Linked DNA regions of Tamandua tetradactyla. The protein of the gene in region 1 interacts with the protein of each later gene in a biochemical or structural test. Links are inferred from orthologs where the notes say so. Each region holds a gene or a part of one and is shown in the gene's direction. Other genes may lie near its edges. The genes, in order: H2AC20, MYSM1, UBR2 and USP16.

The links.
Region 2: of the proteins of H2AC20 (region 1) and MYSM1, one has a biochemical effect on the other in vitro, tested with the Homo sapiens proteins (2 studies listed by BioGRID). The link is inferred for Tamandua tetradactyla from reciprocal best matches to the Homo sapiens genes H2AC20 and MYSM1.
Region 3: the proteins of H2AC20 (region 1) and UBR2 form a complex in vitro, tested with the Homo sapiens proteins (2 studies listed by BioGRID, with this or other methods). The link is inferred for Tamandua tetradactyla from reciprocal best matches to the Homo sapiens genes H2AC20 and UBR2.
Region 4: of the proteins of H2AC20 (region 1) and USP16, one has a biochemical effect on the other in vitro, tested with the Homo sapiens proteins (2 studies listed by BioGRID). The link is inferred for Tamandua tetradactyla from reciprocal best matches to the Homo sapiens genes H2AC20 and USP16.

What each region holds. Positions count from the first base shown.
Region 1 is NC_135330.1:5,947,690-5,952,936, reverse strand, and holds H2AC20 (histone H2A type 2-C), read left to right. Parts: upstream 1-4,043; 5' UTR 4,044-4,098; coding exon 4,099-4,488; 3' UTR 4,489-4,649; downstream 4,650-5,247. Other genes in the region: histone H2B type 2-E, read right to left, coding at 3,410-3,790; histone H2A type 2-B, read right to left, coding at 4,650-5,042. UniProt on the Homo sapiens protein: Core component of nucleosome. Nucleosomes wrap and compact DNA into chromatin, limiting DNA accessibility to the cellular machineries which require DNA as a template.
Region 2 is NC_135328.1:162,151,905-162,159,331, forward strand, and holds the start of MYSM1 (deubiquitinase MYSM1), read left to right. Parts: upstream 1-4,402; 5' UTR 4,403-4,445; coding exon 4,446-4,510; intron 4,511-6,971; exon of another isoform or gene 6,972-7,427. UniProt on the Homo sapiens protein: Metalloprotease with deubiquitinase activity that plays important regulator roles in hematopoietic stem cell function, blood cell production and immune response.
Region 3 is NC_135331.1:100,144,265-100,151,466, forward strand, and holds the start of UBR2 (E3 ubiquitin-protein ligase UBR2), read left to right. Parts: upstream 1-4,174; 5' UTR 4,175-4,578; coding exon 4,579-4,656; intron 4,657-7,202. UniProt on the Homo sapiens protein: E3 ubiquitin-protein ligase which is a component of the N-end rule pathway.
Region 4 is NC_135336.1:88,300,933-88,308,036, forward strand, and holds the start of USP16 (ubiquitin carboxyl-terminal hydrolase 16), read left to right. Parts: upstream 1-4,090; 5' UTR 4,091-4,205; coding exon of another isoform or gene 4,206-4,232; exon of another isoform or gene 4,233-4,384; intron 4,385-7,104. Other genes in the region: uncharacterized protein LOC143647711, read left to right, coding at 321-371, 862-1,292, 1,943-2,089, 3,108-3,204. UniProt on the Homo sapiens protein: Specifically deubiquitinates 'Lys-120' of histone H2A (H2AK119Ub), a specific tag for epigenetic transcriptional repression, thereby acting as a coactivator.

The sequences.
Region 1 (5,247 bases):
GGGATGGTCCTAGTCCTTCTCCACTTTTAAATTCTGACCTTATGACATGGTGGCTCCAGAGAGAAACAGGATAAACTTTCTTTTCCCAAGGGGGAAGGAACTCATAAGAGCCTTGACTTGAAGAAGAAAGCTGGCCATGCCAGAAAGCAGAGGCAGTCCAATCCGCAGTCAGAAAAAAACAAGTAGGCTTAGGAGAAGGTGAGTAGATCACTTTGACTAGAGCAGAAAACCTGGATAAAGATGGAAAAAAAAAGATGGAGATAACGGAAAGCCTTAAACACCAGGGTTTTTAAAACTGTGCACTGGACTGCAGTTCTACTAACTTGCTGTACAATCCTGGGCAAGTTACTTAACCTCTCAGAGCCTCAATTTCCTTTACCTGTGAAATAAGGATAATAATGGTACCTATCAAGTGAAAATCTGAGATAATTCACATAAGTATCTTAGCAGAGGACCAGGTAATAGTTAAGTGCTCAGTAAGTGATAGCAATTATTACTTTAATTATAGTAATTATTAAAATAGTAACTTATTATTAATAATTATGATTATTAACTCCAATATAAGCAAAGGCAATTAAAGATGTTTGAGTGGGAGAAAGAAATGATTAAAGAGAGTCTTTAGGATTAATCTCACCATCACTGATTACCTCCCCTCCCAGTGAAAATAGCAAACCCTATCACCTCTTTCCCTTTCCTTACTCTGTAACTTCCTTCCTAATGAACATCATGTCCAGGAAGGGCCTGCAACCAGCAAGTAGTGTTCTTCAGTGTTCATGAAAAGATTCCAACTGTTGAGTGCCAGGTGGGCCAGGCCAGCTGAGTTAGGCTGTGTCCTCTAGGCAGGAGAGCCAGAGCTCCCCAACCCCCTCCCAAAGCCTCGGGAGCGGTATGTAAGACTTTAGTCATCACCTCCTTACCTCCCCCCACCCAGATTTACATCCAGTGTGCATTTTGAAAAGAGTAAAGCAGGTGGTGTTTCATTTAAGTTTTAAGCGATAGCTATTTCCCCAAACACCCAGGGGTAGGGGTGGAGGGTCCTGATTTTCAGCTAGTGAGCCTACTTTCTCAGGTCATCAAAAAAATTTCCCAAGCTACAGAGACTAGCAGCTTATTCTCTGAAGAGTTTCTGAGGAAAGGTCTCTCTGTGCCCATTTCCTCATCTGTAAATTGGAGGGTAATGGTAATACCTACTTCATACAGTTTTGGTGAGGATTTAATGAGTCAATGAGTGTAAAGGACACAAAACACGAGATGCCACATGGTAAGAGCTGTTATAGGTATGAGCTTTTATCATTTACTAAAGTAAACTTTAAAGCCTTTATTTCCTCCACCCTGTTTATACTCTGTATCTGTTGTCACAGTTTTCAAAACACTAAGCATGAAAAGTGATTTCTCATCAGACTATTTCAGCCCCAGGGGACCTTTGGGGAAGTGAATTTTGTGCTGAAGGTGTATATTCTTCCTTCAGATCACAGGTACTCAGCTTTCTTGAAGATTCAGTGGCAGTTATTTTGTTTAACTGAGAGTGTATTACAGATTAACGGACCCAGCAAAGCTTTCAAATTAATTGGCAACCTTATTTTTATTTATTTTTCTGCATGGGCAGGCACCAGGAATCAAACCCAGGTCTCCGGCATGGCAGGCGAAAACTCTTCCTGCTGAGCCACCATGGCCCACCCTAATTCATAACTTTATTTTTAACAACTGCATTTACACACATTTGAAAACACAAGAATGAGATACAAGTTGCACTAATATCAGGGCCTATTCGGATTCATGAAACCTCTGGAATCAACTCAGGAGTCCCTTAACCCAAAGGAAAGTGCAGAAACTGCTCAGACCAGCAGCAGTGCCTTCGTCAGTAAAAGCACAACTTGGACAGAAACATTCGAAATTCTATAACTCCACAAAATAAAACCAAAATGCAATTGTCTTCATACCTGAGGATACAAACACCATCAAAACCTTAGTTTCGTGACTGTGAACTTCATTTGTGAAGGGGTCTTTAGCCCTGGGGTCCTGCCTGTCCCAGCTAAGTAAGAGTCTCCTGAGAAACAAGGGAGATAGGGCATATTAACAGCAGTCCCAGTGAAGAAGAGAATCAGGATGGGGGGGGAGGGGGCGGGCATAAAGGGAGCTGGCTTGGAAGGCTCATTGCACTTTCCAGTGACGAACGCTCTGAACTTGATAATCACCCCGAAGACACTACTCTGAGCCGGGAAGTAAAGGGAGGTCTTACCAAAACCACATCCCCCCGCGCAGAAAGGACCTGACCATCGCCCCTCCCAGTGGCTGCAGACAGGTCCTGTACTTGGAATGTGCTCCAAACCACAGGTCCATTCTCACCGAGGCGTGGTGGCTTCAGACACAGCTAAGGGGAAACAAGCGCGCCCATTCGTCCAAGAAAACGGTGTGGGAAATGAACTCAAATACTCACGCAGCCAGTGCCCACTGCTTCTGGCCCTGCCACGCTGAAGATACAGCTGAGAACCAGGCGAGAACCAGGCCAGGTTTCCTGCCCTCAAAGGCTCGCAAACCGGAGGGGAATAAAGACCATAAATAAGACAAACGAACCACACAATTTCCCAAGCTGCTACGAAGAAGTTTAAAAAAGAGTGAACGGAAAGACTGGAATAAGAGGCGCGGACTCCTGAATGGCTTATCTGGTGGGGGGGGGGCGGTCTCCCCGAGGTGACTTTGGGACCAAACCTACGTGACCAGGGCAAGGATTGCGGTGACCTAAGGACCCCGCGTTCCAAGCAGCGTTATATGTAAAATAACCCGTAGAACCGGGGGGGGGGGGGGGGGGGGCGCGGAATAAGGTTTTAGAATCCTGTAGTGAGCAGAGGAATCGGAAGCTACGAATTACGAAACGAAGCGGGATTCTGAAAATTCACCCCGTCCAACCCGGCGCGTTTGGGTGTGGGCTCCGCAGGGGGCGCCTACAGCCACTGGGACCCCTGGGCGGCCACCGGTGACCCCACATGCAAGTCGCTCCAAGAATGGCTACATAACTAATACAAAAAGCTGTCGTACGACGTTTCCGACCCGAACTCAATGTATCCTGGGGTCTTTCCATTAAGTTCATCAGTTGAAATCACTCCGTTTTCCACGCCAAGTTAACAAAGCGCCGCCTACCCTACAAACAATTGGAAACAACAAATCCTTTGCATCCTAATAAATCCTTTCCCTGAAAACACAAAGGATAAAGATGGGTCTGAACTCAAAAACATAACTAGTCACGGGCCGGGGTCGAATCACTCCCGATTCCACGTTTCCTTTAGAAACGAATCTAAAGTGAAATATTAGATGGAGAAAGCTCTTTTCTTGTGACCGAGTGGGTGGCTCTGAAAAGAGCCTTTTGGAGCTTTAGGCGAGCGCTGGCGTGCGCGCCCCGCCCGGCAGGGGCTCACTTGGAGCTGGTGTACTTGGTGACGGCCTTGGTGCCCTCGGACACGGCGTGCTTGGCCAACTCGCCGGGCAGCAGCAGGCGTACAGCCGTCTGGATCTCCCTGGACGTGATGGTGGAGCGCTTGTTGTAGTGCGCCAGGCGCGACGCCTCGCCCGCGATGCGCTCGAAGATGTCGTTGACGAAGGAGTTCATGATGCCCATGGCCTTGGACGAGATGCCAGTGTCCGGGTGCACCTGCTTCAGCACCTTGTACACGTAAATGGAATAGCTCTCCTTGCGGCTGCGCTTGCGCTTCTTGCCGTCCTTCTTCTGCGCCTTGGTGACGGCCTTCTTGGAACCCTTTTTGGGAGCGGGAGCGGACTTTGCTGGTTCAGGCATTATAAAATAACGCTGAAATCAGCAAAGGAGACACAAGGATAGGCGGGCCTGAACCTTTTATAACCACCTTATGCAAATTAGGGCTCCAAAAGTCTTTCCTTTCCATTGGGCCATGTTTTATCATCAATGCCTACGTAACAGCGCCTACTCTGGACCTTATTGGCTGTTTCTGGAGCCAACTTAGGACCAATGAGAGTCTCGCTCCTGACCCCACCCCTAGGAAGGCTTATAAAGGCTTTCTTTTTGCCGCGTTGCTACCACCAATTTTCTGTCTCTTGGTGTGTTTGTGTGTTTAGTTTTGATCTGCCATGTCGGGCCGCGGGAAGCAGGGAGGCAAGGCCCGCGCCAAGGCCAAGTCGCGCTCGTCCCGCGCCGGCCTGCAGTTCCCGGTGGGCCGAGTGCACCGCCTGCTTCGCAAAGGCAACTACGCGGAGCGGGTGGGGGCGGGCGCGCCGGTGTACATGGCGGCGGTGCTCGAATACCTGACGGCCGAGATCCTGGAGCTGGCGGGCAACGCGGCCCGCGACAACAAGAAGACGCGCATCATTCCTCGCCACCTGCAGCTGGCTATCCGCAACGACGAGGAGCTCAACAAACTGTTGGGCAAAGTTACCATCGCGCAGGGCGGCGTCCTGCCCAACATCCAGGCTGTTCTCTTACCAAAGAAAACCGAAAGTCACAAGGCTAAAAGCAAATAATCTGTCGATAACGCCAAAGACCACCAAAGGCTCTTTTTAGAGCCACCCAACTTTTCAGAGGAAAGAGCTAGCGCTACCTGTCATCAGCCCTTCTTTTGCTGTTTAGTTGGCTCTGAAAAGAGCCTTTGGGTGGGGGGCGGTGGCGGCGTCACATCTCGTGGTTACTTACTCTTGCCCGGCTTGTGACTCTCCGTTTTCTTAGGCAACAAGACGGCCTGGATGTTGGGCAGGACGCCGCCCTGCGCGATAGTGACGCCGCCGAGCAGCTTGTTGAGCTCCTCATCATTCCTCACGGCGAGCTGCAGGTGGCGCGGGATGATGCGCGTCTTCTTGTTGTCGCGGGCCGCGTTGCCCGCCAGCTCCAGGATCTCGGCCGTCAGGTACTCGAGCACCGCCGCCATGTACACCGGCGCGCCCGCCCCCACCCGCTCCGCGTAGTTGCCTTTGCGAAGCAGGCGGTGCACTCGGCCCACCGGGAACTGCAGGCCGGCGCGGGACGAGCGCGACTTGGCCTTGGCGCGGGCCTTGCCCCCCTGCTTCCCGCGGCCCGACATTGCAGCTAAAAGCACAGTGGCTGTTTCTATTTCAAGGGCAGGGATGGAGCAGGGAACCCATTTGCTGTGATTTATAAGCGCAGGTCGGGAGCGGAGCGGGGCGGGGGCCCTGATTGATTGGCTGAGCGCGCAGCCGCGTCCGCCGCCAATGGCGAGCGGGCGACAGCCGTGGGCGCCCCGCACCGCGCGCAAGGGACGGGCCTAG
Region 2 (7,427 bases), on another chromosome or scaffold:
TTACTTTTCCAATGCAGTAGCAGGTGTCCAGAAATAAACCTGCTGAAGTTTTTTTTTTTACCTTTGGCTATTTTCAAGTGCCATGAAATGGTTATTTTCAATATATTTTCAAGTTCTACAGTTATTTTCTGTGGAGGGGAATTGCCTGACATCCAGCCATCACCATTGCTGGCTATACAGTCATCAGCCACAATTTTTGGAAAATGACACAAAAGAAAAGTTTCCTTGAGGTATTAAGTTCCACTAAACACTTGATTCCTTATGACACTTTTAGCCCCAAATAACTTTCACCTAGAAAGGGTCATTTCATTTCTCCCTGTTTCTAGCATGAGCAATAGGTAAGCTTCCAAAATCAAGTAAGACCTTCTGCATGAGTCTGTTGCTTTTAGTGATGGTCAGTTCTTTGGATGGAGAGAGGAAAGAGAATGGAAGCATATCATTGCCTGACGCACTGTGGCTCTGCAGCATTCATTCTCTCCATGTGGATCCTTAAAGATGGATAGGACTTAGGAATTATCTTAGCAATGCTTATCATTGCTTAGATAAACAGAGATTCACAGATTTTTATTTTTACAAGGTCAAGTTAGGACAAGGATGGAGGTAAGGCCTTGATCCAAGGCAGTATCCTTGCCTGAACATCACACTGACTTTCTTAATAAGCATTGTTTGCTGAATCTATTCTTAAAGTTCTTAAGCTTTATCATCCAGAGGAGTTATCTTAACAGCAAATATTAAAATAATATTTTGATGAAGCATGAAAGACTTACATATATCTGAAAGTTTCCAGGGTGAAACTTGGCATTTTTTTTTACAACACAAGACACAAAAAATAAAAATTATAAAGGATGACATTAATAAACTTGGTGACATTAAAATTTTAATAAAAAATTCCTATACCTAAAAAACACCCAAAAGGTATCAAAAAACCGAAAAGACAAGCCTTAGACTGGGAGAAGATATTTATAGTCCACATAAAGAAAAAAATATTGGTATTCAAAACATTAAGAAATCCCAACAAATGAATAAGAAAACAAACAATAAAAAATTGGGCAAAAATGCAAATAGGCAATTCACAGAAGATTTGGCCTTCATGGACAATAAAGTAAGGAAAACATTTGTCAACCTTACTTCTTTTTTTTATGTTTGCACTTTTATTAATCACCAAGTTGCATTTACATAGTTATTGCTACACATTTTTTGGGTGGGGGATTTGAAAAACTTTTAATTTGGAAATACTTTCAGACTTACAGGAAAGTTACAAAAGTAATGCAATCCCCATAAAGAGAACTCCAATGTATCCCTACCTACCAGATACCCAAAACTACCAATTTGAACACTTTGCCACATTTGTCATATTGTTCTATTTTTTGAACACTTGAGTGTAGATTATAGACATCATGCTTCTTTTTTTTAAATATTTGTCTTATAAACAATGTACCAACATACCAACATTCTTGATATACGATCATTCTTGACATATGAACATTCTTGACATGGTTACAATCAATGGCTAACAATATCATCCAATAGTTGTGCATTCATCACCATGACCAATTTTTTGAACCTTTGAATCTCTCCAGAAGAAGAATGAAAAAAATAAAAAGAAAAAACTCATACATGCCATACCCCTTATCACTCCCTTTCATTGACCACTAGTATTTCAATCTACTCAATTAATTTTAATCTTTGTTCCCCTGTTATTTATTTATGTTTTATCCATATTTTTTACTCATCTTTCCATACCATAGATAAAAGGAACATAAGACACAGGGTTTGCACACTTAATCACATTGTGAAAGCTATGTCATTATACAATCATCTTCAAGAAACATGGCTACTGGAACACAGCTCTAGAGTTTCAGGCACTTCCTTCTAGCCACTCCAATACACCATAAAGTAAAAGGGAATATCTATATCATGCATAGGAATATCCTCCAGGATAACCTCTTGACTTTGTTTGAAATCTCTCAGCCACTGACACTTTATTTTCTCTAATTTCTCTCTTCACCTTTCGGTCAAGAAGTTTTTCTCAATCCCTTGATGCTAAGTCCCAGCTCATTCTAGGATTTCTGTCTCATGTTGCCAGGGAGTTTTATACCCCTGGGAGTCATGTCCCACATAGAGAAGGGGAGGGCAGTGAGTTTGCTTGCCATGTTGGCAGAGAGAGAGAGAGAGAGAGAGAGAGAGAGAGAGAGAGAGGCCACATCTGAGCAACAAAAGAGGTTCTCTGGGGGTGACTCTCATTTTAAGTATGCTTAGCCTGTCCTTTGTGGGGATAAGTTTCATAGGCACAAACCCCAAGATTGAGGGCTTGGCCTATTGACTTGGTTGTTTCCACTGCCTGCAAGAATATCAGGAATTCTCCAAATAGGGAAGTTGAATTTTACCCCTTTCTCACCATTCCCCCAAGGGGACTTTGCAAATACTTCTTTATTCACTGTTCAAATCACTGTGGGATTTATAGAGACATCACACTAACCTGGACAAAACAACAAAATCTCATGCCCTATTCAAAGTTCCATGCACTTACGGTGTTCAATTAAACTATCCATATAAGTTAAATTATCAACCCTATTTAAGTAGGAAGATACAAATTAAAATCTCAATAAGATACCATTTTATATCTTTCAAATTGACAAAAATTCAGAAATCTGATTGCATCAAGTATTGGTAAACAAGTGGAGTAATTAGAATTTATATTCTGCTTTGGGATTGAGTATTGGCAACTTCTAATAAAATTGAAAATGCATATATCTTATCACCTTACAATTACATTCATACACATAAACTATATGTATCACATATATGTATACATTATATAGCCTATGTGCATGTATATATATCTTATGTAATGCATTTATAGTACAGCTTATTTTATGCCCTGAGCACAAAGGTGAGAAAAGACTAATTGAGAATACTGTGGGAAAGGAACTCATTTCATTAATTGATTCCTTCATTCATTCATCTGTTAAATATTTTTTGAGTACCTATTATGTATCAGACATCATGCTGTATGTCGGTAGTATAAGGACTGACAGACTCAGTCTTTGCCTTAGGAATTCACTGACAACAGGGGAGGCAAATAAGTGAACCAATAATTAAATTGTGAGAGTGGCAGATACTAAGGCATATATATATATATACATATATAAGAAATAAAATATATAATTAAATTGTGAGAGTGCTAGATACTAAGGCATATATATATATATATATATATGAAATATATAATTTCTTGAGAGGTCACACATTCTTTGAGAGAAATGATCTTTGTCCTCTACAATGCCTAACAACATGATTTGTACAAGGTAAACACTCAGTAAAGAATCAGAAAGGCCTAGATTCTGTTTCCAGCTCTGTCTTCGTTAGCTATGTATCCTTGGAAAGTCAGTTGACCTTTTTGAGTCTGTTGAGGATTGAACCATGCCCCCAACAAAGGCATTTTCAGGTCCCAATCCCTGTTGTGGTGCAAACCATTTGTAATTAGGATCTTTGAAGATTTTATTAGTTAAGGTGAGCCCAAATTGAATGAGGATGTTTTAATCCACTACGGTTAAAGTCCTTATAAGATAAAGAAATTGGACACAAAAAAAGCTAGAAACCAAAAGAGGAAAGAGAGGAAATTGCCACGTGATGGAAGAGACAAAAAACAAACAAACAAAAAAACCCAAGACACCAGTAAGCAGGTCCAAAACATGATAGTCTCTGGGGAGAAAGGATTGCTTTGCTTGCACATAGATTATGGACTTTTCCTAGCTCCAAAATTGAGTGCCAATAAATTCCTGTTGTTTAAGCTAAACCATTGTATGGTATTCGTTCTAGCAACTGGGAAACTAAGTCTCAGTTTCCTCATCTATTGTGTGATTGACGATACTAGCCATTATCTCAATGGGTTACTGTAACGATTAATGGTCATTTGAGAGTGATTTTTTAATTGTTAAGATCGCTACAAAATAAATGATGCAATCATTAGGTTATATATTTTAAAATAGAGTTTGTTCAGCACTTACATCTCTTTTTAAAAGAGAGAGAGAAAGCATACGTGAAAGCGCAAACGTAAATAACCAGCAGATACGACTTCTTCACATTTGCCACCTTCACAGTTCCCCGAGTATAGCCTAGCTCCAACTTTTCATCAGGCCATTAAAGTATTTGCTGCTATTCCTCTTTTACAAATGATAGAAGGGAACTGCCAAAAAATTTGTCCAAGAACATCAGCTCTCAAAAGCCCAAGGCAGGGACACTTCCCAAGGATCCTGACATTTAAAACGTAAAAGAACTAAACCACACGCCTCCGGGACTTTCCTTCTGGAAGCCACGCCTCCTTGGCCCAGGAGGGGCTTGACGGGACTTCAACCCCTCCCCTTGACGCATCCGGTCCCGCCCCCGGGTCCTCCACCTCTCGCGGGATCTCTCGGGAGGACAGGACCCGGTCCGGCCCCATCATGGCGGCTGAGGAGGCGGATGTGGATATCGAAGGGGACGTAGTGGCAGCGGCGGCACAGACAGGGTGAGGCTGTGAGACGATTCTTACCGGGCGGCGGGAAGAGGGCGCAGATGCGAGGAGAGGACACTGGGAAGCCCACGGACCTGGCAAGGCACGGGGCATCGGAAGACCATCCGCTAGGCCAGGGTCTCCTGGCGGCGGGGCTTGTGGTTCTGGTGGCGCCGCCCGTCGCGCCAACCCATGTGTCCTCACCCTAGCGGGCGACTATTCGGGGCTAGTTTCGAGACTCCTCTTTCGCTTTTCACCGGGTGCTTGTGAGGGCGCCGACTTCGCCTGGCATATTGCACTCGTTCCAGCGTTAGGTGCCTTCTTCCTTCCTCCTCGCTTTAGAATCTTCCCCGGTATCCTCAGTCCCACTGCCCGCCAATGGAACCGAGGCGGTTCCTGGCGGGTCCTGAACGGGACCTCAATGCAGGGACCCTCGTGCCATTACTCTCAAGCCTTGTAACCTTGGGCGAGAACACGTTTCTTCTCCATATGGAGAATAAACTACCTGAGAGGGAGAGTCAGGAGAGTCAGGGTTTTAGAGTTGGACAGTTCTGAGTTTGCTTTCTGCGTTTACTAACACTACCAGCTACTAGCAGTGTGACCTTGGACAAGACACTTGTCTAGCCTCAGACCTCTCATGTGTAAACTGATAATCGTGATATGTACCTCATGGGGTTGTTGAGGATCAAATGAAACTATTATGAAATGTTTTTGCATATTGTAGGGGCTCTGTAAATGTGTTTGGCTATCCGATTACCTTCGGGATGGTAGCGTGAGGACGCGGTGAGGAATCACAGTTTATTTAATAATAATTTCCGCAGAACAGCCCAGTGTGGTTTTAAACAGCAACCTTCAGCTTGGAAGATCTGGTCTATTGATGCGTTACTTTTTCCACTTACTGAGATCAATACGTATCATTTAAAAAGTGTTCTTCTAGAATATAATTTTAGTAGTGGAAGATGTCAAGACTGGCCTGGACATCAGAAAACCTTAGCTCTAAACCCAGCTAGCGATGTTGTTTTAACTGAAAATCTTCATTAATCTGTTAGGTTGAACCATATGAAATTGCCAGTATTCAACCATTTTTTACTCTTTTTTGTAAAATGTCAATTTCATATGGTTCAACCTATTATCAGAACCACTGTTAAATGGGGAGAAGAGTACAACCTGGCCATGAGGGGCAAGATATGGATATAAAAGTGTTTCCTGAACTCTAAAGCCGTATAAAAATGTGAGAGATAATTCAACTCATATAGTAATTTTACATCAAATTTTTGAGGAAAGAAGCCCAAAGTATGCATATGAGTAGGAAGTCTTTAATAACAGTAATTGTTCACAGTTGTGTTGTTTAAAACTTGACCAAATGCTTTTGTGTACTTGATTTAATTTACTTTTCACAAGTCCATGAGGTGGGTGGGCAAGAATTCTTTTGCAGCCCAGAAAGAAATTAATTGGCCTTGGAAGTACTAAATAAAGATCATCTGAAGGCATTAACTGTAGACCATTCTTCTACCATAGATTCTTCTTTATTTTTCTGGTTGTGTTAAATCCCCCACTCCCACCCCCACCCCTTTCCTTCTTCCTCCACTGTTTGGGCCTTAATTCTGCTGGTGCACTTGTGATTATATCAGCCTCCTATAAACAGGATTTCAAAGATTATTGGTTCCTAATGGTCAGAGCCATTACCTCACGTAACTCCAGGGAAGATCATTACCATTATATCATGGAACATGGAGCCTCATAGTTTTGGGGCTTCAGTCATTTGGGATTTATTGTGGATGGTGTCCCCTGAAGTATATACTTAACAACTGATGATAGCATGTGTGAAACATTGGAACATTAATATAAAATACACTTTTTTAGCACTTGCTTAGTGGTAGGTACCAAGGTACCTTTCTTTCCTACTATTCCTTCTCATTCTCCTTTTCTTATGCTTGTCATAGTGTTCCCAAATGGTTTTGTCTTAGGACTTCTCTGCACTGTTCACACAGTCTCAGGTGATACTATCTCAAGGCTTCAACTTCTGGTTGAACCATATGAAATTTCCCCAATTCTACCATTTTTGGCCTACAAAAATCGCAGTTTCATATGTTCAACAAATATGTGCTGATGTTTTCTAAATCTGTCACCAAACCAAATCTCTTTCTTGAGCTTCAGATCAGCTTACCCAATTCCCAAAATAGATCTCTATTTGGATGTCCAGCAGACACCTCAGCTTATCATTTTTCCCTCCTCACCAAATTTGCCTCTCTAGCATCCCCTAGTTAAATAGCGCCAGCATCCACCAGTCACCCAAGGCATAGACCTAGACTTTATCCCTTTTCCTTACCTCCCTCTTTCCACTCACCCAACCCTATTAGTTACTTGGGACCTGCTGATTCAATATGTGTCCTCTCAAATGTATTCATTTCTTCTCACTGCTTGTTCCTTAAGTATAGATTACTACCACTTCTCTCCAGTATTTTTATAATCACTTCCTTGTAACTGCTCCTTGTTTCCTTGGCCCCTTTTATTCTTTCCTGAAGTTAAAGCTGCCTTACATCCAAATCTGATCACTTTATTTACTTCAATCCCTCACTGGATTTTATGACAAAATCCTCATCTGTAACTCCTAAAGATCTGTGTGATCCACGCCACACTTATCTTGTTCATTCATTCATACAGCAAATATTGATTGAAAACATTCTGTATACCAAACTCTAGGAATATAGTAGCTTTCAAAAACTAAGTCCCTCCTCTCTTAGAACTAACATTATTGGTTAAGACAATGAACAAACATAAATAACACACACCTGTATTTATGATGTATGTGGCAAATATAACGCATATATGTGGCAGATGTGTCAGATAATAGTAAGTAGAGAAGGATGGAGGAGGGCAGATGATGGCTTGTCTGCTTTATCTCTTGTACTTACCTAAAAAATTATAAAAT
Region 3 (7,202 bases), on another chromosome or scaffold:
GAAGATGCAGTAGCTGGGCAATTCTGCATCAAAGTATGCCAAGTGACAATCCTTTTTACATCTGAGACAAAATGATTTTTAGAAAGCAGAGAACCACAAGATAGTGGATGTTCCATTCCTAGGATGTAATTTTTTTCTTTTTTCTTTTTTTTTCACATGAGCAGGCACCAGGAATTGAACATGGGTCCCCAGCATGGCAGGCAAGAACTCTGCCTGCTGAGCCACTGTGGCCTGCCCCCTAGGAGGTCATTTAAATCAGTGCTAGCAGGTACAGAACCAACATGAGATGTTTTCAAAATCTCTTTATTTCCTTCTGTCTTGAGGACTATTTTTACATCAACTGCTTCATACATTTCTATTACAGACTAGAGGAAATCCACTATCAAAGCTCAAATGAGGAAAAACAAATACAATCAGTTGCCGTCACCGTTAATCTCTTAGAAATAAAAGAGGGAGGTGGGGCAACCTTGTCCCCAAGAATAGTAGAGGGTGTGTCTACAGAGATTAACCGTGACAGATGTATCTTGGTGTGATCCTCACATAGGAAGATTTGTGTCCAGTGTTTCAAAATAATTCAAGGACAGAAAGTTTCCAATCTTTTACCCATGGCCTCTAAGAAGAGCCAAATAATGACGTTAGGACCTATCAAGAAGGGAAACTTCCCTGGTTTGAGGCCTACTCTACATGCGCTTGGTTATTTTAATCATGAAAAAAAGATAATAAATTAACTTGCCTGGAAATGGGTGCATATGGGAAGCAGTACCACAGGGGGAAATAGGTCTTGGAGTTGAAGAGATTTGAGTTCAATGCCATTTTTGTCATTTATTTAACTATATGACTGAACTGATTAGCTATTACTGCATTAAAATAACACCTAGAAACTTTGTGGCCTAAAACATCAGTCATTTACTTAGTTCACAATTCTGCAGGTGAGCGATTTAGGCCAGTTCTCCTCTTCTCTCCCTGGATGCTCTCATGCAGTTACAGCTCCCCACAGGTCAGCGAAGTGGCTCTGCTTCTGGGATGTGTGGCTGTCAACTGTGTATCTTCATTCTCTTCCACATAGCCTCTCTTCCTCAAGCAGTCTACCTCAACTCATTCCTTTTCCTTTGTGACAAAATTTGTAATAAATTTTGATAAGTGGCCATCACTAATTTGCTTGAGAAGTTTTTCTTTAAGTATTTATATATTTTAAAACCTTAAAAATCCCAAATAATGTTCACCTCAGGTACTAGTCTGAGGGATGACTGGGTGATGGATGATATAGGTCCATAGAACTACAGGAATAGAATGTAATTTCCTCATTCTTTGTGTGTGTGTGCGTGTGTGCGTGCGCACGTATATATTTAAAACATAAAACTTACCATTTTAACCACTTTCAAGCACACAATTCAGTGGCATTAATTACAATCACAATAGTGTGTTACTCTCACCAACATCCATTACCAAAACTCTTCTGTCACCCCTAATAAATTCTCCAGTCATAAAGCATTAACTCCCCATTCTCTCTCCTCCCTGTCCTTAGTAATCCATAATCGACTTTCCTTCTCTATGAATTTGCATATTGTAGTTATTTCATATAAGGAAGACCATACAAAATCTGTCCTTTCGTGTCTGGCTTATTTCACGCAACATGATGTCCTCAAGGTTCTTCCATGTTGTTTAATGTATCAGAATTTCATTCCTTTTCAAGGCTGAATAATATTCCATTATATGTACATACCACATTTTGTTTAACCATTTATCAGTTGATAGACATTCGGGTTGCATCCACCTTTCAGTAATTGTGGATAATGCTGCTGTGAACATTCACATACACACATCTGTTTTAGTCCCTGCTTGCCTTTCTTTGGGTATATACCTAGTAGTGAGAATGCCAGGTCATATGATAATAATAAGGTTAACTTTTTGAGATACCACCAAACCGTTTTCCATGGTAACTGTACCATTTTACATTGCCACTAACAATGTACAAGGGTTCCTATTTTGCCACATCCTTGCCAGCACTTGTTCTTTTCCGTTTGGTGAATAATAGCCATTCTAGTGGTTGTAGGTGGTGTCTCATTGTGGTTTTGATTTGTCTTTCCCTAATGACTAATAACATTGAGCATCTTTTCATGTGCTTATTAACTATTTTTATAACGTCTTTGGAGAAGTGTCTATTCAAATCGCTTGTCCATTTGGTTTTGAATTTTTAAAACTTTTTTATTTTGAAATAATTTCAAACTCACAGGAAAGTTGCAAAAATAATACAAAATCCATACAGAGAACTCCCCTCGACAGATACCCAGATTCAACCGTTCTAACATTTTGCCAGATTTGCTGTATCATTTTGTCTATCAATCCATTTATCTATCAATTTTCTAAACATTTGAGAGTATATTATACATATCATGCCCCTTGAATACATAATACTTCTATATACATTTCTTAAGAACAAGGATATATACTTACATAACCACCTTGAGTACAGTTATCAAGTTCAAGAACTTTAACATTGATATAAAACTTTCATTCTCTATATCAGTTTTTTCAAAAGCCTTTTAGGGCTTTTCTCCTCCAATATTAGATCCAGTCTAATGCCATGTATTGCATTTAATCTGCGACTCTTTAGTTGCTCTTTTTAAAACAATTATGGATACATAGAAACAACATAAACTTTCCCATCTCCACCACTCCCAGTATACCATTCAGTGAGATTAATCACATTCACAATGTTATATTACACTTAACCACCATCTATTACCAGGAACTTCCCACCTCTTCAAAAAGAAACTATCCCCATTATCCTTTGCCCATTTTTCAATTGGATTGTTGGAGGTTTTTTGGTTTTTTGTATATCCTGGATATTAAGCCCTTATCAGATATACAGTTTCCAAAGATTTTCTCCCATTCTGTTAGCTGTCTTCACTTTCTTGATAATGCCCTTTGATGTACAATAGTTTTTAAAAATTTGATGAAGTCCCATTTGTTTTCTTTTGTGGTTCATTCTTTTGATATAAAGTCTGAAAATTCATTGCTTAATACAAGGTTCTGAAGATATTTCCCTATGTTTTCTTCTAAGAGATTCATAGTTTTATTTAGGTCATTGATCCATTTTGAATTGATTTTGTATTTGTTGCAAGGTAGATACTTTCATTCTTTTGCATGTGGATGTCCAGTTATCCTAGCACCATTTGTTGAAGAGACTATTCTTTCCCATTGAGTGGACTTGGCACCCTTGGAAAAAATTAATTGTCCATAGAAATGTATGTTGATTTCTGAATTCTCAATTCTATTCTATTAGTCTATATGTCTGCCCTTGTGCCAGTACCATACTGTTTCAATTACTATAGCTTTGTGGTAAGTTTTGAAATTAGGAAATATGCATCCTTCAATTTTCGTCTTCTTTTTCAAGATTCTTTTGGTTACTAAGGACCCTTTGTGCTTCCCTATGAATTTGATGATTGGCTCTTCCATTTCTGCAAAGAAGGTTGTTGGAATTTTTATTGGGACTGTATTGAACCTATAAATTATTTTGGGTACCATTGACATTGTAACCATATTGTCTTCCAACCCATGAATATGGGATATCTTTACATTTCTGAAGTCTTTAATTTCTTTCAGCAATGGTTTGTAGTTTTCCTTATGTAAGTCCTTTACATCCTTGGTTACATTTATTCCTAGACATTTTCTTCTTTTAGTTGCTATTATGAATACAATTGTTTTCTTGATTTCCTTTCTGATCATTCATTCCTAGTTTAGGTATACTACTGATTTTTGTTTGTTGATCTTGTGCCCCACCACTTTACTGAATTCACTTATTAGCTCTAGTAACTTTCTTGATATGCTTCCAGATCTTCAGTCATTATTTTGACAAATATTTGAGTGTATATCATATGCCGGACTTTAACAAATACTTGAATATTTACCATGTGCCAGAGGCTATTCTATGCCCTCAGGATACAAAAATGAACAAATACGGGTGGGGGGTGGGGGACAGCGGATAAAACTACTTCCCACAGTATCTTGTTCTGCAGCCTTATTCCTAGCGGGTGCTTATTTCCCAAGTCTCTCCCCAAGAGTCTAGTTGTGCAAAGAAACCCCGCCCCATTACCTGCCAATTCCCATTGGCAGATTCTCTGCCATTCTCTCCTTAAGAGATGTACTACAACTCCCACAATGCCCTTGTGGCACCCTATTAAGGGGCCGCCTTCCTCCTGGCCTTGCCTGGGACTACTACCGTTCCCAGAGTGCTCCTCTTCCCATCTTGGGTGTTATTGCTCCTTTCCCCGGGTCGGACGCGGTAGAAGTCAACGAGAGTGCCAGGCACGGGGTTCTCTGTGTCCTTCCCCGGGCAGAGACAAGTAGGTGACTTGCCACTTGGTCGCTGGGCCCGGGAGGGAGCGTAAACACCGCCGTCCCTCCTGACCGGTTCACCTCACCCTTCCTTCCTGCCTTGCTCCACCCGCGGCCGCCTGGCGGCTCCGGGACTGACTGCCTGGGGCAGGGGTGACGGTCGCGGCCGCCCGGGCTGTGGCGAGGCCACGGCCCTTGGGGCGGCGGTAGCGGCGTCAGCGCTGGGGAAGAGGAGGAAAAATGGCGTCGGAGCTGGAGCCCGAGGTGCAGGCCATCGACCGGAGTTTGCTGGAATGTTCGGCTGAAGAGATCGCGGGGGTGAGTACCGGGACCCCCGCATGTAGGTCTGGCCCTCGCAGGCCGCGCCCCGAGGGAGGAACTCACTCCTGGAAATCCCGGGGCGGCCCGGCCCAGACGTGATGTGACGACCGCGCCTGCCTCCCCGGCCTCTCCGTTCTCCCCAGTCTTGTCTTGCAGAGTAACGGCCGGAGGAGGCCACCGGTCCTAATGATCTCCTGTCTTTCCTTTTAATCCTCAAATAGCCCAGTGCTCCAGCCACCTTTACTTTCCCATTCTGCCTAGACCAACAAAGAGCTCTTGCATTAGTCTCCCCCCCCCCCCGCCCCCCCACTTCCCATTAAGTCGCCAGTACACGGGCCTTTGCCCTTTATTCCAGCCCTCGGAGGATGGGAGGGAAAGAGACGATTCCTAGTGGTTTTGGTATAATCACCCAACTCAGACTTCCTGATTCCTTTTCCTGAGGTAAGCGAAGCAGTTCCTCCACTGAAACATGGCACAGTAACTGAGCCCCTCCTTTTTTTCTGGGGTTGCCCTGGACACCAGGGATGCAAACGACACCTGTGCGTTTTTGTACCTGTTTGGTCAGCCGACGACGTGTCTTTGAAGGTGTAGGAAGTAGTATCTTGACACATTTAGTAATTTTATGAAAGCTGTAGTGGAGACCAGGAGATTAAAAAAAATAATTTCTCTAGTCATTGGGGGTAGTTGGATGGAGAGTAAGTTATATAACTTCGAGAGTGTAACTTTCAATAAATACAAGCTAACATTGAGAGGCCACAGCTTAGCAGGAACAGTTATGCTCCGAAGTTAAACTATTAAAACCAAGTATTGTACTAAAATTTGCATATGCTAATACAATGAGCAGAATTGTAAAATAATTATTTTAATAAAACTTGACATCTTTCCCCCAAGGACAGGGAACACCTATTAGTACAGATTGTCCAGAATGATTATGAATGGACCAAAACAACTTAGGCCCCACCCCTAAGGTTAATAAGAAGGAAATGACCTCTGAACACAAGTCAACAATCTTACTTAATGTTATGAACAGAATTTGAGGAGGGTACTATGGGGTTATTGGTCAGTGATGAGCTGTTTTGTGTGCATTAATGATATAAAGTCAGGGTGCAAATAAATGACAGTAGGAGTATAATTAAAAAGTGTAAAGAAATAGACTGCCTGTTCAGTAATGAGTCTTCTCTTTCTTTTTTTAACCATATCCTGATTTACATGTTTATCCCGTGTCTGTTTGCACTACTGTCTATTTAGTATTGCAACAGCTCAAGGATTTTCAACCTCCCTCTACCTTTCATTTGTCGAAGATATTTGAAAAAGCAAATGAAAACTGTTAAGGTAAACAGTAAAATAATAGTATTGGCAGCTGTTCCTTATGCATGATCTCTTCTGTTGATATCTAATCAGTTATTTACCTCAGAGTTTTTTTGTGGTTTTTTTATTCTTCACTGAATTTTGTGTTTGTTGGCCCAGTAGTATAGGCTATTTATTCTATGATACCTCATCTAAAAGGGCAAACTGTTGAGTGATTAGAGTTTCTTCAACTTGTTGAGAATTTCGAGGAAACCAGTTATAAAACCAGGGCTGAAGGCCAACACTCCTAGTTCTAGGGCAGTGACATTCTCTCAAGATGCAGTGGGGAAAGTCAAGGAAATGCAATAACTAATTATTAATTTGAACTTAATTAGAGTTTGTGGGGATCTGCAACCTGATCTATATTTTACATTTGCTCTGTTTACTTTTAAATGGCTTTCTGAACGATAGCATAAAGAAGAAAAAGGTTCAGTCTGAGGGCCAACAATTCCTTCAAATAAGGAACAGACTAGCTAATATTAAAATATAAGATCCCCTCAGCTCATGTAATCTATCTTTACTTTGTGAAGGGTTTACTGTCTGTTTCTGGTTATAATAGCATGACATTTAAAACTGTTCTTTCAGCTTGGGCTCCAGTACAGCCCTTCTCACAACTGAAAATGAATTAACAAAGTTTCTCTATCAGATTCAAAGTAAATTTTAGAGAGTGTAAACAAGTAGAGAAAGCAGTTATTGCAGCCTTTAAACTTCTGTTACTGATAAGTTATTGGGATCACATCCATTTAAAATTACACAGTGAGCACTAGTGTTATCTTTCCAAACTTTATTTATACACTGCTTCTCTTATTTCTAGAATGAGGAGGAAGAACTTTTTGTGAACTCATCTGTCCTGACTAGTATGCCTCAGAAATAAAAAGCTTCTAAGCTGACTGTTTAATAATTTTAAGTTTGGGATATTAAAGTGGCCCTTTGTTCTCAGTCTTCTCTTTTTCTTGATAGAAATGATTCCATAACAGCTATAACTTTCCGTACTTCTTGACTCTCCTCTTTATTTACATTTCATGCTCCAAGATTTAATTACAATGTCATTTTCCAATGAGTGATTATGGTTTAGGAAGTCCCTACATTTTTTTCCCTAAATGTAAAAGATACATAGGCATTGTAGAAATTTTATAGAGTTGTATGTATATATTGTTTTTTTTTTTTTGCTTTAAAATTTTCAACAGTTTTAATAA
Region 4 (7,104 bases), on another chromosome or scaffold:
TGGAGTATTGTGTAGGTGAACAAGGATGAAAGCAGGGGGACCAGTAGGCACTGCAGACTCGGGGAACATAGGATAGTGGCTTGGATTAGGGTTGTGATGGTTAAGGCAGTGAGCTTCAAGTTCTGGACATACAGTGAGAGTAGAGCCAACAGGTATTACCAATGAGTTAGATGGGATGTGTAAGAATGACTCCAAGGCTTTAAGCAATTCCAGAAGGATGGTTTTGCCATTTATCTATAAAGGTAAGATAGTGGAAATCTGAATTTCGGTTTTAGACATACTAAAAATGAAGTACCTATTAATACATCTATTAACTAGAGATGTACAGTGGGCATTTGGATTTACAATTACGGAGTTTACGGCAGATTCGGGTGAAGATATTCGGAGTCACCAGCACCTATTTGAAGCCAACATGTTTACAGCCGTGTATTTAAGATCTCTCAGCAAGTGAGTGCCCATGTAGAGAGGGACCCAGTGAGTTTGGAGGTCTGGTCTGGAAGATGAGATGGACCCAGCAAAGAAGTTTGGAACGGAGGGACCCGTGCGCTAACAACTACGGGAGTGCTGACACAAGAAAGTCACTTATTTGCCAAATTACTATCGTGGGTGAAAATTTCAGCCCCAAAAACCTTCAGGAGAGTTTTTTGACTCGAGTGCAGTGAATTGTTCTGTAATAACGTAGAATGAAACTAGAGTTTCTTGAGTGGAATCCTTCTTTCTATTTGAAATTTGTTTTTAAAGATCGGAGCAGGAACCCAGCATTTAAAAACAAAGTGTTTAAAAGCAAAGTTCGGACTCAAATCTCAAAAAGCGGCCCTGGCAGTGGACCTAAGCCCAGCGCGCAGGCGCTGTCGCCTTTAGCAACCAATAGGTCCTGAGAGGGAGGGACAGCGGCCAATAAGCGGGCGTGTACGGCACCGGAAGTCTGTGCCACCACGCCAGCAGGTTTCCCGAAGGTGGAGCCCGCCTCTGATAGCGGGAGAACCTCTCAGTCGTGCCCGGCGCCCGCGGACGGAGAACTCACCTGGGGTCAGGCGAGGGCGCACTGAATGCGCCCTCAGTTCGGTATTCCCAGGTTTCCTCACTAAACAGATATTTCTGTTATGCGGAGCGAGCCTCAGAATACAAGACGACCGGAGCCTGGAAATCGCCCCTATGGAAGTGGGAAAGGGCGAAGGTGGCTTGCGCTTGCGCGCGCTGGGCCGTGGAATCCGGAAGTCGATTGGCGCAGTGGTGACGGCTGCGACCCGCTGGAGGGGTGTTCTGGCCCCGTGGTCTTCCTACACCTCACGGTCTCAAACCTATTGGCACTATCAGAGAGAAATATAGCCGGCATTGTTTACTGGGGCAAGGAATGGACCATTAAAGTAATGCTTCTCAAACTTGAGCACAAGTCGGAAGCGTTTGGGGACCTTGTTAAATACAAATCCCGGTTAGACAGATAGGGCTACGGTCCCAGATTCTGCATTTGCAATAGGTCTCACGCGATGCGGATGCTGTTGGTCCTCAAATTGAACTGAGTAGCTAGGCATTAGGGAGACGGGCCTGAGGATGATGGCTGGGACGGCTTTAGGTTTTCGCTCCCGATAATATGCCCAGGATGTGTGTGTGAGGGGAAGTATCCATGCACAGAAATTTACTGCAGGTAATAAAATGACAGTTTGAAGGAGTGATTAGAAATGTTTTTTAATCCAAATGTATGTAATACATACTTTCACTTTTTCCTTTATGATACTACATGTTCAGTTTAGAAATGTCGTAAATAAGATTTTTGTTTTGTTTTTTAGGTGAACAGTGGTAACATTATCACCGCTAATTTCCAAACTTTGTTATTATTTTTACAAAAATAAGATTGTATATGGTCTTTATAGCTGCATTTCTACTTGGTATTTTTAAGGCACTTTTCAGTGTCACTAAACAACCCATCTCTTTTTTCCTCCAGATTGTATTCTGAAAAATTTCAAGCATACAACAAAGTTGAGAGATTTTTGGAGTGGTTTCAAAGGGAAGGAGGAGGGGGTAGGGATATTTGGCACGGATTGAAGACATTTTTGGTTGTCAACAGCTGGAGGAGTGCTGCTGGCATCTGGTGGGTAGAGCCTGGAATGCTTCTCAACATTCTACATTGCACTGGGTATCCTCTATAGCAAAACATTAGCTAATCCAAAATGTCAATGGTGCGAGGGTTAAGAAACCCTCACTGAGAGACTATCCTGATATTTTACTATACATAATTTGCTACATATTTAATCTATCCATTGTTAAAAAGCATTTCAAAGTAAGCTGCATGTATCATACTTTTTTCTAAGTACTGCAGAATGTGTATGCCAGCATGCGTATCTTTAAGAGTTCAAATTGTTTAGTTCTCTTTAAAGATAAAATTTATAATGACATGTATGTCTTATATGTACATTTGTTGAGTTCTGACATGCATAAACCTGTGTAACTCAAACCCTATTGAGAATTGGAACATTAACATTACCCCAGAAAGTTCCTTCATGTCCCTTTTCAGTCATCTGCACCCATCTCCCAAGAGGCAACCACTACTCTTTTTTCCTACCATAATTAGTTTTGCCTGCCCTATAATGAATGGAATCATACAGTAGGTGTGCTTTTGTGTAAGGCTTCTATCATTCTAATAATTTATAAGATTCCTTCATGTCCTTGTAGCAGTTCTTTTTTAGTGCTTAGTAGTATTCCATTATATGAATATTCCAGTTTTTCCATTTTTTTCCTGGGAGCCTGGGGTGTTTTTTGTTTTTTTTGGCTTTTATGAGTTGAGCTGCTATGAACATATTTTGTACAAATATTTAATTTCTAAAGATTATATTTATTCAATAAATATTTACTAAGTACTTACTCTATTTACCAGACACTTCTAGGGATATAGCCATGAACAACACAAAGATGTTCCAGCTCTCAAGAAGTTTACATTTGCACTTTTGTGTATATGCGGTAGGGTGGGGTAAGCAAATGTATAACTAAGTGTGAAAGTAAAATATCGGAGAGGGATAACTGCTGGGCAGAGAAGTAAAATAAGATGATGTGAATGATTGGGAGTGGCTGTTTTACCTAGGTTGCTCAGCGAATTTTCTGTGACTTTTAAGGTGCGAACGGAATGACAAGAGGACACCAAACACAGAAGGTCAAGACAAGGAGCATTCCAGGCAGAGGAAGCAGGTAGTACAGAGGCCCCAAGACTGAGTTTTGGAATAGAAAAACAACATCAACAACAAATAAACAAAACCAGCGTGGCTGGAACTTAGTAAAAAGAACTTGAAAAATGAACTCAGAAGCAGTAAAAAACAGGAGAGCCAGTTTATCTCCAGATTTAAGCAGAGGTCGTTTTCATTTTGGTCAACTGGATGGATAAAATGCCAATAAATCCTAATCTACTTTTATCTGATTGCTAGTAAGAGTGTACGTTTTATGACCTATTGTGGATAACTTGTTTACTTCCCTTACCTATTTTTCTGTTGATCCTGCATCTTTTTTCCATGGTGATTATGTCTTTTTTATTAGAATAATTTCCAAAAGGGCGAATCCTATGTTTAATTTCTCTTAGCAGAGGGTCTGGCACCAAGTGGGCACTTACTTATTTGAACGAATGAACAGTGTTTGAAAATTTTACCCTCCGTGGTTCTGCCTTTAAGACACTTCTTCAACTTTGCTTTAAAACTATGTGTGCTACTTTTTATTTTGACGTTGTACAGGATAAGACAGTTCCTGTAAAACTGTGTGAAATTTAAATGTTCCCATCTTATCCAGCCTTCGGGTGTAATATTTAAGAACAGTAACTCGGAAGAATCTAGGCACTAATTCATTATCAGTCAGGAAACCCAAACTTCTAAACACCATCAGTTACCTCATTTTATTGCACACACACACACACACACACACCCCAACACACACACACAAACTTCTAAACACCATCAGTTACCTCATTTACCCAATGGGGAAATGCCTCATTGACAGCCGAGCTCCTTAAGGTTACTGCGGCCCCGACTTCCGTGTCGCGGTGTGCGCAAGCGCTGATTAGCTAGCGTCAGCGCCGCCGAACCTTGGGGCCGGAGCCACTTCCCATAATGCCGTGTTTCGGAAGTTGTTGCTTTCTCGGGGTCACTCTGGCTTTGAGTTCTGTCGCTCTCTAATCGTCACCGGGAGGAGGACGGAGCTGGAGTCCCAGCCCATAGGCCCATCAGGGAATGCAGTTATGGGCGCTGTCGCCGCGGGTGAGTTCTGGCCCCACTGACTTGTAGTCCCTACTGGCTTAACTTCATGCGCTCTGAGAGTCCCAAATTTTCTGCCCACATCTGATTCTCTTCTCGTAGGACCTTCTTCCTTAAGCTGGTTACCCGGTCCCGGCCCGACACCGTATTCTCATTGGTTACGTTTTCTGTCAGTTACAGGGGCTGGCCAATGAGTTGCTGGCCTTGGCGCCCCTCTTGACCTCGTGGACCCCGAGGTCCTGGAGTGGGTTCGGAGCAGTTAGTTGGAAGGGGAGGGCAGGTCTGGCGGGCGCCGCGCGGGTGGGTGGCAGGCGGCGGACAGCACCCTACGGGTTGGAACTGGGTTTACAGCTGAGTTCATGGTGGTTTATAGAAAAAGAATAATCTGTCACCCTATCACCTGCTTCTAAGGGTGGATAGAACTAAGAAAAACTTTGAAAGCCACGTTTAAGACCTGACAAAGTTTTCCAAACTCTTGCATTTTCAGTGGAACACTGTAGGGGTAAGACTGGGAGGGCAGAGAGTTAATGCAGAAGATTTGTATGATATCCGGCAAGACTAGCTTCGATCTAAATTTTGTGTGGAGTCCTGAAAAGAGTCATTTGGTCAAGAAGTTAATTGTCGTCCCAAGGCGCACCTGAAAAATTAAATAGCAGTATTGATGCTTTATAGTGACTCATTAGATGTCCTTTATATGTGAAAAATTTACTGGAGCTCTTTCTACAGCATCGAAGTGATACCCTGCTGTCCTCTGCCTGCCGCAATTACAGTTCGTCTTTCAAGTTTTCCTTTGGACTGTGGGCTGGTGCAGTCCTCAAACCAGATTTGCTAGTGCTGTCTTCACAGCTGCAGACTTCATTTTTCATTTTCACCAGAACTTGTTTACTTCATTCTTATGTACCTACCTTTACACCTTATAATCATCTTTTATGTCTCAAGTACCATTCTCTTTTTCTGTTTCAATGCAACAAGTGTTTCTTAAGAATCTGTCCGTACTTACACTCTACTAGATGCTACAGGCAGTTCAGAAGAAATGCTTAAAACATTTCTTTGTCCTTGAACTTTAGATTCAAGGCAGAGAAATAATAGATGTCCAAGTTAAAAGATTTAAGAAACTGTCTACAATAGTGTCTTATTAGAGTATAAAATGAATAGTGCACAATATAAACATTGAAAGTTTAGGACAGAAGTTTATTGAGTTGATGGTTGGTGAAGGCTTCATTGAGATGGAGAATTAGAGAATTGGTAAGATTTGGATAGATGGAGAGAACATGCCTGCTGAGAATTGGAGGTATAGAGGTGTGGGCAAGGTGGTTTAGACTGGAGGATTCTGAAGTGATTGGCCTGATTGGAATGGAAAGAGTGGTGGTCTGGGTTTTAGATCTGGTTTTTAGTTCTGTCTCTGGCACTCTGCCCAATATAAAGGGTTTTTTTGTGTGTGAAAATCAAAGGAGGTAATGTTTGTGAGATGGTTTTGAAGACCAAAAGTTCTGTATACAGTAATTATAATCTTCATGGTTCTTTGTTAATGAGAGTCACAATTACTAGAGAATTGTGGCCAAATTATAAAGGAACATGAGTGCAAAGCAAGTGTTTGGGCTGGGAAATTATTAAATACTATTAGTCAAGAGAGTGATGTGATTAAAATGGCATTAGGACACTGAATACAGCAGATTAGAGAGTTGGATTGTAGGCAAGAACTTGGGAGTTATATTTTTAGTTTTTAGAATCTACCATTTGTTCTAGATAAGATGAATGTCATTTTGAGGGTGAGGGAAAGCACATAAAGTGTACCTCATTTAATGTATACCCATATTCTTTGTGTTCTGTTGTTAGTTCATTCATTTTGTAAACATTTTAGATTGGAAATGTTTTCTTACCAGAAACCTTTACTTGATGTGGCAGTCATTCTTCAAACAAATATTTTTAAATTACTTCACCTTTAATTACACTAACCCATTTGGAGCTAAAAAGGGAATACTTCTAAAACTCTCTAAGTCAGGACAAAAATGACAGTTTATATCATATTTAACTGGAAAGTGTTTTTAGAACATATGTACTCCACTTTCTACTTACAGAATAAAAATTTTAATGAACATTCCAGATAAATTAACTGTTATGAGGTAGTCATTGAAGTGATTTTTTTTTGGTTAATACTTTTAATTACATGACCATAATTATACTATTTGACATTTTGGATAAAACCAGTTACAATACACAAGATTTTCAAATGAGACGATATGTATCAAACTAATAGATATGCAAAGTTTACAGGCCATTATGAAGCTTTATCTTAAAAATACCTTCTGGAGAATAAACATTCATTAGACCAGTTCTCTCAGCTTTAAAAACATATGGTTAGAAATAATACATTTTAATTAAAAAAATCAAGACAATGATTGATCAAATAGTGATTAATCAGTTACATTTTAAAACTTTTAATAGTAATCTGTACATGAGTGCAGGATAGATAAAAGTCTGCAAATTATTAATATCAAACTGCAGTACTATAATCAGATGAACGTGACTGCTGACTGTTAATTCTACTGGATAATTATGGAGGTAATTTTCTACACAGTGTAGGTGAATTGTCCAGTCTTTTAAACACGTCTCTAGTATTTCCTCTTAGCAAAATTGGAAATATTCAAATTGGGAGAGATGGAAGATCAGCAGCTAGCCTTACCAGGTCAGTTTCAGTGGGAAATAACTATTAAAGAAATGAAATATGTTTAAAGCTTTTTGATGAACATTGTTTTCCAAAATATTAAAAATAAGGAGTTGAGCTACTTTTAGAACAAACCTCAAGTGAGTACACTGCTCACTTGTCAAGAACAATGATTCAGGCAAAGGAAGGGCTGCAGGAGCGCTTGGCACA